2 linked regions of the Canis lupus familiaris genome follow. The protein of the gene in region 1 interacts with the protein of each later gene in a pairwise test. Links are inferred from orthologs where the notes say so. Each region holds a gene or a part of one and is shown on either strand. Other genes may lie near its edges.

Region 1 (5,899 bases):
CGGAACCCGTCCAGTGAGGATGTCTCACAGTCTGGTGGCAGTTTGGACATAGTAGCCATGGATAAAGGCTCAGAAGCATCCTCCTGCTCATCTGGTTTGTCCCTGAAGCCTGGGCCAGAGGGGGCCTTGGGCGCCAGCTTTGAGTATACCATCCTGGATCCCAGCTCCCAGCTCTTGTGCCCAAGGGCACTGCCCCCTGAGCTGCCCCCCACCCCACCCCACATAAAGTACCTGTACCTCATGGTGTCTGACTCTGGCATCTCAACTGACTACAGCTCAGGGGGCTCCCAGGGAGCCCAGGGGGACTCACTGAACAGCCCCTTCTTAAACCCTTATGAGAACAACCTCATCCCAGCCCCTGAGCCTTCACCCCCCGGCTACGTGGCCTGTTCCTAGGACTCCAGTCTTCAGATGCTTGGAGACTCAGCATGACCTCAAGTACTAGTCCAGGCCTAAGACTTATGGAGCAGGGTTGGTGAGGCCTCCCTCAGGACTAGGGACATGGCTAACCCTGGCTTTTGCCCAGCCCATCCTGCTCAGTACATCCTTGCAGTATTTTGAAATGTATAGAGTTGTGTGTGTGTGTGTATGTGTGTGTATTTTTTGTTCCTATCATGACTTCTACAAACACCCTGTAAGCCCCATCCTTCCCTGGACCCAGGCCATAGGGGCAGCAGTAAAAGGTCTCAAGCTCAGTCTGAAATTCTGGACCTGACCACCTCAATAACAATCATAATAAAATGAATTAGTCAGTATATGTTATACTAGGTGCCATAACAAAAAACTCCTAAATGTGACTGCTTAACACATCAAATGCTTTCTCTCTCATATTTCAATGCAAACAAGTGGGCAGCCATCTCTGGGATGAGTCAGCAGCCCAGACTCTCTTGGTCTATAACTTCACCATCCCCCGGGGCCACCTTAAATGGATTCTCTGCATCTTGCCAACCAATAAGCAAAACAAATCGCAGAAGATTTGGTGGGCCATTTTAGGGACTTAGCCTAAGAAGTAGTATCTATTTCTTTTTTACAAATGCCACTGGCCAGAAATAGTCACAGGACCCCAGCTAGAACCATGGACAGCAGGGGAAAAAATGCAGTTTAGCAGTACAGCCCAGGAGAGGAAAGTCGTTGAATGAGCCTCTAGCTAGTCTCTGCCACTACGAATAACAATAATTTGTAAGGCTTTATTCTGAATCAGGCCCTGTTCTAAGAAAGTACTCTGATGGGACCAATGTCATCAGGTGGCTTCACTGGCAGTTCTGGTTTAACCACTTTTTAAAAGTTTGACATAACCAAGGAAAGATGAACACATGCAGAACTTCTCTCCCAATTCCACTTCTAGGTGTATACCCTAAAACCCCTCATACACACGAACCAGGGCATGTGTGCAAGAAAAAGTGAGAAGCCTGACCTGGGGCTCGATCCCAGGACCCAGAGATCATGACCTGACCTGAAGTCAGATGCTTCACCCACTGAACCACCCAGGTGCCCCTGAACTAATCGTAATAATAATGCTGAGTGGGAGAAGAAGTCTTAGAAGATTACATTTATCACGAAACATTTTATAAAGTTCAAAACAGCAAAACAATATGTTGATTGGGCATGATAGGTACATGGTAATGCTCTGTTTCAAGAGAAAAAGCACTGTTCTTTAGGTCTTTGAATCTGTACAAGTCCCTGAAGTAAGTATTCCAGCCATGGGCAGTTGAGGCACAAAGAGGGTGTCACACATCAAAGCTCAAGGCTGGCCTCCAGAACTTGAACCTTTGTCTGAGTTGGGGTTACCAGACTGGGTAGGCCATGGGGTGATTGTCATCTCTCCATCTGGTCGGAAAGCCACCCACCACTCTGCTCTAGGGCTCAGCCCACCTGAATCCAGGCAGGCTCGGAGGCCGCGCTGTCCTGGGCCTGGTGCATCCACCTGCAGCCAGCACTGGGCAGGGAAGTACCGCTGGAGCAGCGACAGCTGCAGGCCATCCCCACTCTCTTCCTCTTCCTGGATCTGGAGGGCCACAATGAGCCCACAGCCCTGGCCAGGCCCAGTCCGGTGGCTGAAGTGGGCAGCTGTGTCTAGAAGCAGGGCAGCCAAGTAGGCCGCTTCTTGAGAGTCTTCCACTAGGTACTCCTCCAGGCCATCCAGCAGCAGGAGGGAGGGGGCTGGGCCCAGGGCCTCATGGGCAGAGCACAGAAGCTGAAGGAGTTCATGGGTTGAGGGTGGGTACTGGAAGCGTATCTTCTAAAGTGAGTTAAAAGAGAAAACACTAGGTTCAGCTCAGGAAGCCAGGCTCCCAGCTCCAGCTGCCCCGCTTCCCTGTATTTCCTGTGCTCGGCGCTCACACCCCACCCGGGTAGCTGGTTCCAGAGTGAAGCAGCTCAGAATTGGTGGAATACTCTTCCCTTCATCCCGTCCCCCTTTTTGGGACGCTTTCCCGACCTTTTTTAATTTTCTAAAAAATATTTTATCCATTTATTTATGAGAGAGAGAGCGAGAGAGGCAGAGACACAGGCAGAGGGAGAAGCAAGCTCCATGCGGGGAGCCCGATGCGGGACCCGATCCCGCGACTCCGGGATCACCCCCCGAGCCACAGGCAGACGCTCAACGGCTGAGCCACCCAGGCGTCCCGCTTTAATTTTTTTTTTTTTTTTTTTTTTTTTTTGATGGTTTCCCAGTCTCAACAACGCCTGCTCTGGTCCCGCCCCCGCCCTCCCGTCCCGGCTCCTTCCTGACTCCGCCCCACAATGGCCGCCCCGCCTCGCTCTCCCGTCGTCCCTTCCATTGGTCTGTCTGACTGTCACTCAAGCCTTGATCCGCTCAGGTGCGAACTAGGCCGCCTCCGGTCCCACCCCTCGGTTACCTGTAGCCGCAGGGGGTCGAGCGCCGCTCCGGTCCCGCGAGGCAGGCTTTGGAGAGGCCTCCGGGTCAGGAAGAGGACGGGGCCTCGGCCCTCTCCTGCCGCTTCCAGGGCCGCCGCGAATAGCAGCGCGGTCTTTCCGGAGCCTGGGCCGCCGAGCAGCAGTAAAGGCGGCCCGGCCTCCGCTGTGTACTCCTCCCCGGACTCTGCCGAGCTGCCCTGGTTTAGCACCCGCCTCAGCGTCTCCGCCATTCGCAACGTGCCTCTGTCCGATCAACGGCCCGCCCCCGCCCTTAGTCCCGCCCAACCCGGGGTCTCATTGGTTACAATGCACTTAGCTTCTCCATTGGCTCATGGATCTGCCATCAAAGTTAGATTGGCCTGGACTAGCTTCTCCCCTCGTGAAGGGGCAAATAACAGTCCGAGGGAGGAGGAATGTTGGCATTTGAGGGAGAAAAGACCCTTCCCTTGCGCAAGTCGGCCGAGGGAGGCAGCACGACTATCATTATTGTGAACTAGTCAGCTAATCAAACAAATATAAGTGTTGGGAGTTGAAGGAAACAGGCCCTAATCAGTAACACATTACTTAAAGTCTCCTAGGCTCAGTCTGCTCATCTGTGAAATGGAGCTCCTGACATCTCAGAGGAATATTGTGATGAATGGGTCTGTGTGTGTTTCTGCTGATGTCACCTAATGACAATTGGGAAGGTGAATAATGGAGGAGCTTGTGTGCTTCCTTTTCTGCACCTTAGTATTGGCACAAGCTTGTGTTGGAGGCTGCAGGCTCAGGAACATCCTCGTGCAAAACAGCAGCAGCCACCTCTGAGGGTCTGTGAGAAGAGGAGTCTCAGCTGGCTTTCTCTTTGGCCTGGGAGCTGCTTGGGTTTTACCTGGGGCAAGGGGGTCGGGCATGACCATCAACCAAAGAAAGTGCAGGTAGACAGTCACACAGGGTGGGAGATTGAGGGACAGCCAAGGCAGAGATCTTGTCTTGTTCACTTAAGTGTTTCCATCGCCCAGAACAGCGACTAGATCGTTGTAAATTTTCAATATATGCTTGTTAAACGAATGAATGAAGAAAGGAAGTAGGACTGATGAGAAACTGGGAAAGGAGGAGGAACAAGATGAGTGGTTAAGTGATGGCTGGCTAGGTCTCCTCACCCAGACTTCGCCCTAGAGCTGCCACTCAGCCCGGTTGCTTTGGCAACTCTGTCTCCTGGTAACTTCAAAGTGGTGCTGTTGCCAGGAGACCCAGGGGCGGCGGAACTGATATTTCCTGGGCTTTCTCTCTCCCTCTGGGGCCAGAAAACAGATCTACAACATCCCCCAATACACCCACCCACACAGCCAGGCACCTCCACAGCCCTCTACACACATGCACGCGTGCTTGTGTGCACGCGCGCGCACACACACACACACCATGGCATCTCTGCATATATTCTACTTTCAGAACCCCCATCACCCACATGCTGACAGCCCTATCCTACCTTGACACAAAGCATCCCATATCCACTTCCTCCCACATTTACATCCCCACATCCTTTCCCTTGCACACAGATTAGGACACACTCTGATACAACCAAACAATTGCTATTACACACACACACACACACACACACACTTCCTTTCAGCTAATGTGCCTGCAACTCTTTCGATACACACATACACAAAGCACACTGTTACATTTCTTGTGAAACACACCACCTCAATCCCCCCACCAAGAGATGCACAACCCATGTTTCACCTCAACTTGCAACACTCCAAATGCACAAGCACCCAGTAGTGACACTAGTATCACATAGTCGTGCAGTTACATACATGGGAGCATGCCCAACACAGCCCCACTAGACTCGATATTCCTTTACTGGGAGCACTCAGCTCCTAAATTTCCCTGTGGCTCATTTTCCAACTCCATTCAGGTCTTGGTCAAATATCACCTACTCAGAGAGGCTTTCCCTAATCACTCGTGTAAAATTGCATGCCCTACACATTTTAACTGCTTATCTATATTTCTTTCCAAATTACTTGTCATTTCCAACGTTATGTTCTTATTGCCTCTCTCCTCACTAGAATGTCAGCTCCACCAGGGAGGTTCTTTCTTTTGTTCATTGCTGGGCCCCTAGCCCCTGGAACAGCATTTAGCACACAGCAAGTGCGCATAAATGTAGACTGAGTACATGGGCAGAGATGCAGATGTTTGGCATATTTCTTGTACACATAGTACTCCTCTCACTTCTCAGAAGCCTGTCTTCATGTCCTGATAGAAGGACCCTTACCGTAGAGAAGGTCCCAGGAGGAGGGAGGATCAAAGTGTGAAGGGACAGGGGAGTAGACAGCTCAGAGGTAGTCTCTGTTTCTCCCTTGTTTTTCATCATCAAGTGATTAAGTAATTCATTTCATAAAATTTTATTTAATTCATTTCATTTCTTTCCTGTGTGCCAGGCCCTGTTCTAGGCACTAGGGCTTCAGAAGTGAAAAGACAATTAAGTCTCTGTCCTCGTGGAGTGGACATCCTAGTGAGGGAGAAGATAATGACCACTAAACATAATGAGTTTAAATAGCCTGTGAGTGAATGACAAGTGTATGCAAAAAAAAAAAAAAAATTGCACAGGGGAGAAAAAGTTGGAAGGACCAGTTGTTTGGTTTTTGCAATCTGAAATAGGGTGGTAGGGGCAGGCCTGAGAAGGTGACACTTGAGAAAAGGCTTGAAGGAGCTGAGGGAGCAAACCATGTAGATGTGTGAGGGAAGAGAATTGCAAGTGGTGGCACCTTTATGTGCAAAGGCCCTGAGGCACCGGGAGAACTTTGGCTTTTACCAGGATGCATGGTGGGTAAGCCACAAGAGGGTTTGAGAAGAGAAGGGTTGTGGTCTGACTTACATTATAAGCCAGAACTCAGTTTTTTGTTGAGTTCAGTTAGATTCTGTGAGGCCTACAGGGGCACATCAAGAGGTCTTTTGAATAAGCACATATACCTTAGTCTAGGTTTTCTGCCTAAAATTATCCCGGGGTTCCTGGGATGAGGGTGTGGACTAGGTGAGGCGG
Region 2 (6,031 bases), on another chromosome or scaffold:
TTTGTATCAAGAGACTAGTTTGTTGGAAAATGAAGAAGTTGAACATTTTAATTTTGAAGATAGTAGCTCTGTCTTCATGTTTTATGTCAGATCACATGAGTTCTTTAAAACATTTAACTTTTCTGTTTCAGTTCAACTCACCCATTTTATTCTCCAGTTTATAAAAATGACTCTTCCTTGTTAAAAAAAAAAAAAAAAAGTGTTCTTGAAAAATAAAACATGAAAAGCATCAACAATCATACCACCCAGTGCTAATAACTGAAGAGTTTGGTTTATTGCCTTCTTTTTTAAATTAAATGTTTTATTTTGTGCCCATCCTTTCTCACCTATTGTAAAAATTTTCCCACATACCAGTTTTTTTCTGATCTATCATTTAAAAGTGGGTAGCCTTTATTACTAATACAAAAAGTACAAATTAATACCCATCAGGTGGTCAACATGAGAAACTGATAATATTGGTAGTGGTTAGCATGGGGGGAAAATAGAGCTCCTATACAGTGCTGGTGGGACTGCTGTTTCCACTGTGGAAAGCTATTGGCAACGCCTGTTAAAGTTGAAAAATGTATATATCCTAAGGCTCAGCAATTCTACTTCTATAACCAGGAAGAATTCTCATATGTGTGCATTAAAGGACATGTATGGGGATAATTGAGTATTATTTATAATGTAAAATAGAAACAATCAGAATGCCCAGCAGGGTACTTACAAACATACAGTGGAATGTTATTCAAAAATTAAATTAAGGGATCCCTGGGTGGCGCAGCGGTTTGGCGCCTGCCTTTGGCCCAGGGCGCGATCCCGGAGACCCGGGATCGAATCCCACGTCGGGCTTCCGGTGCATGGAGCCTGCTTCTCCCTCTGCCTGTGTCTCTGCCTCTCTCTCAATCTCTCTGTGACTATCATAAATAAATAAAAATTAAAAAAAAAATTAAATTAAAAAAATATATCAACATGCATCATTTTCAAAAGCACATTGAACAGAAAAAAACCCAAGTTGACAAAAAAGCCTACAATTTATCTTTTATGTTCTAAAACTCATGAAACAGCACCATGCATGTGTATATACACATAGGTGTGTGTATGCATGTGTGCTATGTATATGTATTCAGTATGCTTCATATAATAAAATAAAAAAGCATTAATAGGAAGAAAACCAACAAATGCATATCGTTGCCTTGGGGATGAAAGGAGGTTGGGAAGAACAAGGAGTATTATGAAATGTAAAGATGGCTTTATCTGTAAACATGTTAACATTCTAGGGGATTGATTATGTAGGTTCTTGCTATATTCTTTTTTTTCCAAATTAAAATCAATTTTTAAAAAAATGCCAATGGTGATCCTTTGGGTTAAGTTCCTGAGGTGACCTGAGAGAGTAGATAAGATAGTCTTATCTGAAGCCTTTCTGTTTCCCAGACTGAAGTTCATCTTCGGCCCATCAGCCATCCAGGCCTTGGACCTCGTGGACCGACAGTCCATCACCTTAATCTCATCGCCCAGTGGGAGGCGTGTTTACCAGGTAGAAATCTAGAGGTGGGGATTATCTCAACCAGAAACCCCTTAGCACAAAATGTTTTCATGGATCCCAGTAGTTCCTACTGAAAAGCAATGACCCAACTTAGTAAAATTAGTGTATTAGTAATTAAAATAAGATAAATAAGACTGGGGGCACCTGAATGGCACGGTTGGTTAACTCTTGGTTTTGGGTCAGGTCTTGAGACCTCAGTCTTGAGATCCAGCCCCATGTTACTCTGCACTGAGCACAGAGTCTGCTTGAGATTCTCTATCCCTCTGCCCCGCCCACTGCTTGTATTCTCTCTCTCCCCCCCACTCTTAAATCTTAAAAAAAAAAAAAAAAAAAAAAAGATAAATAAGACCTATTAACCCTACCTAGTAGCAATGTATAGAACCAGCAATGATGTGGAGAGGCTGTTTTCTCAAGTCTCATGGAGACAGTTGACTTTTGCTTCCCTGTGTTTGATAACAGGCATCTTTACCAAAAAAAAAACAAAAAAAAAAAAACAACAACAAAAAAAACTGTATTGACAGTTTTACCTTGTTCATTGTCTTTTGTCTACAAGCAAAAGCCAGAATGCATTTTGAGGTCCTCCTGCATGCTCAGATCATCTATCAGTGATCTTTCTAAACTGTTGTCAGGAAGTATTTATTAAGGGTCAAACTATGCTGAATGCAGATAGTCCACTTGGACCTCAGTTTTGCCCTCTAGAATTTAAGATACATAGATCTGTAAAGTAATAGTCTCTTATCAGACTCTGAAAGATTTCCATGCGTTGTTGCTAATTCCCACAAAAAGCCCAACAAGGTGTTTATCTTGCAGGAAATGGAGATGCAGAAAAGTAAATTAATAGTCATATCTGGCAGCTGGGATTTGTAACTGCCTCCATTTGTATATAAACACTGGGCCATACTCCCATCTCATTCCCATCTCATTCCCACTTGGAAGGAATAAAGAAGCCATCAGCTCTAGTATATAATGTAGGTCTTGCTGAAGATCAGGAAGGGGGAAGCTTTTCAGTGTTTGGATTCTGGTTTATTTATGACGAACTCAGAGCTGAGACCATGTCAAATTTTTTTAAAGATTTTATGTATTTATTAGAGAGTGTGCAAGTGGGGAGGGGCAGAACAAGAAACAATCTGAAGCAGACTGCACTGATGGGGCGCCCAGTGCGGGGCTCAGTCTCAAGACCACAACAAGATCAGGACCTGAGCCAAAACCAAGAATCTGATGCCTAACCCACTGAGCCACTTATGTGCCTCTCAAGTCAATTAATTCTTAGCAAGTGAATGAAGCAGGCAAAGCCAACTTGGGCAAATCGGTCCCTTTGCTTAGTGAATTAACTTGCCATTCCTCAGCGTAGCATGACTTAACCAGTCTGGCAAATCTTCATGCATTTCTTCATTAAAGAAAATGAGGTAATTAATGTTGAGTGCTGGAGTCAAAACCTTTGGATTGTATGTTTACTTAAAAAAAGACTACCTGGGGATCCCTGGGTGGCTCGGCGGTTTAGTGCCTGCCTTTGGCCCAGGGCCTGATCCTGGAGTCCCGGGATCGAGTCCCACGTCGGGCTCCCTGCATGGAGCCTGCTTCTCCCTCCTCCTGTGTCTCTGCCTCTCTCTCTCTCTCTCTGTCTATCATGAATAAATAAATAAATCTTTAAAAAAAAAAAAAAGACTACCTATTAGAATTTTGTCAGGATGAATTTAGAGATTAGTAATCAGAGCTATTGGGGTGCCTGGGTGGCTCAGTCAGTTAAGTTGCTGCCATCGGCTCAGGTCGTGATATTGGGAGTCCTTAGATCGAGCCCATTGGGCTCCCTGTTGGGCGTGGATCCTGCTTCTCCCTTCCTGCTTCTCCCTCTCACTCTCCCCCTGCTTGTGCAAGCGTGCACACGCACATTCTCTCTCTCATGAATATTTTTTTTAAATGTAATAATCAGCTATTAAGTGATACTACACCTGATGAGGTGTTTCCATTTTACTTCTCATAGTTTTTATCTTGGTTTTTTTATGTAGTTAAAATACCCAGAACAAGAAGGGCCTTGAGTTTTTCCCACATCTCTTGGTTTCTGATTTGTCTCCATTCCACTATTAGCATAACACTTGACCTGCACAGACTTCTAACTGCTCTCTAGTTCTAAGATCTAGTCATTAGTTAAAATCTTAAAGATTTTGTTTGACATATTTTAATTGTTGACTTTTTATTTCTCCCAAGATTGCCATGATTTGTTTAACTTTCATCATTCCCATCCTGTATTATATTACATTGCTTTATTTGTCATAAAAGTGCAAACTTCCTAGTACTGTAGCTTTCAGTTTGGACTTTGAATTAAATGAGGCTATAGAAATCTTATATACGCCCTAATGGTCTCATTGTATACTAATATAGTCTGAATCTGGCTTAAGTCACAGGTTCTCTGAGATGATAAAAGTTGAGTCAGACACTGTTTTGTTTTTTTTTTAAGTTGTAATAGTCTAACAACTTTATTTTTTTTTTATTTGTATTTATTTATGATAGGCACACAGTGAGAGAGAGGCAGAGACATAGGCAGAGGGAGAAGCAGGCTCCATGCACCGGGAGCCCGACGTGGGATTCAATCCCGGGTCTCCAGGATCCCGCCCTGGGCCAAAGGCAGGCGCTAAACCGCTGCGCCACCCAAGGATCCCTCAGACACTGTTTTGATACTCCATTAGTCATCTTTCCACAGGTCAGCCTTCTAATCTTACTGCCTTCCAGGCACAATGGTAATTATTCCAAAGTCACCACTGTGTTGTTGTCACCTGAGTTGCTTTTCTGTAAACTTTTTTGGTTTACCTAGGAAGAGGGATGCATCAGTCAGGAGGAGGCTACGTTAGGCTGTGGCAACAATGACCCCCAAATGCCAAAGGCTTACAGAAACAAAGTTGTATGTCTCATTCATGCTTCATTCATACCCATTCAGAGTGGACTGCTGCTCTACTCCAAAACATCTCCACTTAGGGATCCCAGTTGGTGTAGCAGCCCTTCTCCAGAATATCGTGGATCTCATAGCAGAGAGAAAAGAGGATGTGGTCTGTGCCAATTTGTAATGTTTCTGCTTGGCTACTCACATTTTCCTGGCTAAAGCAGGTCACATAGCCAGCCGGTATTTAATAGAGCAGGAATCTATAATCTTCTTTCAGAGAGAGGCACCAAACACAGGGAACAATAAATAATACAGTTGAGCATTCTAATGGCTCCTAAGAGGCTGGCAGCAGCCATAAAATAAAACTGTAGTTGAGAGTGGATGACCATCTAGGTGGGTCATGCTCCTTAAAACCCAACCAGAACTACAGCAGACTTCCTCCAAGTGAGGCTCATGCAAGTCTATATGGGTCTCCATTTCCTATTTCCCAGATTTTTCTGTTTAAAAAGTTCTCTCCTTGGGGTGCCTGGGAGGCTCAGTTGGCTAACTGTCTGCCTTCAGCTCAGGTCATCATCCCAGGGTCCTGAGATTGAGCCCTGTATCAGACTCCCTGCTCAGCAGGGAGCCTGCTTCTCCCTTTCCTTCTGCGCCCTCCCTCCCCACTCATGCTTGCGCGCTCTCTCGCAAATAAAATCTTTTTTTAAAAAAGTTGTCTCCTTCTGAGGATAAACATTGCAGACTGTGAGTGGGCAGAGTGGGGGCAGTTCCTGTAAGAGGAGGTCATTTTTTCCATTGAAGGCTGAAGCCACTGAATTAGATGATCCCTGCAGTCAATTTCCAATTCTAATCTTTTCTAACTCAGATTTTTGCCTGATTACTCGGTTCATTACTCATCTGATGCTAGATAAGGAAGAAACAAATCCAAAATTTACTATCTCCTGACAGTATTTTACTGCTTCAGGCCATTGAACATAGTACTTTTTAGTCATAGCCAGCCCCTGAAAGGATCAGGCGAGGGAGTCTCTGCAGACTCTCCCCCTCCCTAAGTCACCTGGCATTTATTCAAAGTCCAGAATATTCTCATGGGCTGGGGATCCACAAAAAAGAAGGAACCAGGAACCATTAGAGTCCGTGTAGAATTCCACAGGCTTATGCCTGCTTAAATTTAAATCTAGAAAGAAGAGATAAAGGAAAAAGAATCTAAAGTTTTATTCATTCAGGGATCCCTGGGTGGCGCAGCGGTTTGGCGCCTGCCTTTGGCCCAGGGCGCGATCCTGGAGACCCGGGATCGAATCCCACGTCGGGCTCCCGGTGCATGGAGCCTGCTTCTCTCTCTGCCTCTCTCTCTCGCTCTCTCTCTGTGACTATCATAAATTAATAAAAAATTAAAAAAAAAGAAAAAAAAAAGTTTTATTCATTCATTGGTAATGGTTTGGAGACCCAAGAACTGTTCATGTCACTGCTGGATATTGGATTTTTCCCCCAGAATTAAGTGGGAAACCGTCTGCTTTCAGACCGTTGTCAGTTTGACAAACTAGCACAACACTAGAACGGTGCTATTCTTTTGTTAAGGCCTTGTTGCTTTATTCTTTGTTGGGGAGAAAGGGAAGAATCTTGGGAGTGCTGTTTTT

The links. The genes of interacting proteins can lie anywhere in the genome.
Region 2: the proteins of SWSAP1 (region 1) and ZSWIM7 interact in binary tests that used the Homo sapiens proteins (3 or more experiments, as listed by UniProt). The link is inferred for Canis lupus familiaris from reciprocal best matches to the Homo sapiens genes SWSAP1 and ZSWIM7.

Annotation. Positions count from the first base shown.
Region 1 is NC_049241.1:50,348,023-50,353,921, forward strand, and holds SWSAP1 (ATPase SWSAP1), read right to left. Parts: upstream 3,154-5,899; 5' UTR 3,108-3,153; coding exon 2,859-3,107; intron 2,240-2,858; coding exon 1,742-2,239; 3' UTR 1,535-1,741; downstream 1-1,534. UniProt on the Homo sapiens protein: ATPase which is preferentially stimulated by single-stranded DNA and is involved in homologous recombination repair (HRR). Has a DNA-binding activity which is independent of its ATPase activity.
Region 2 is NC_049226.1:40,092,400-40,098,430, forward strand, and holds part of ZSWIM7 (zinc finger SWIM domain-containing protein 7), read left to right. Parts: intron 1-1,413; coding exon 1,414-1,516; intron 1,517-6,031. UniProt on the Homo sapiens protein: Involved in early stages of the homologous recombination repair (HRR) pathway of double-stranded DNA breaks arising during DNA replication or induced by DNA-damaging agents. Required for meiotic progression, hence for fertility.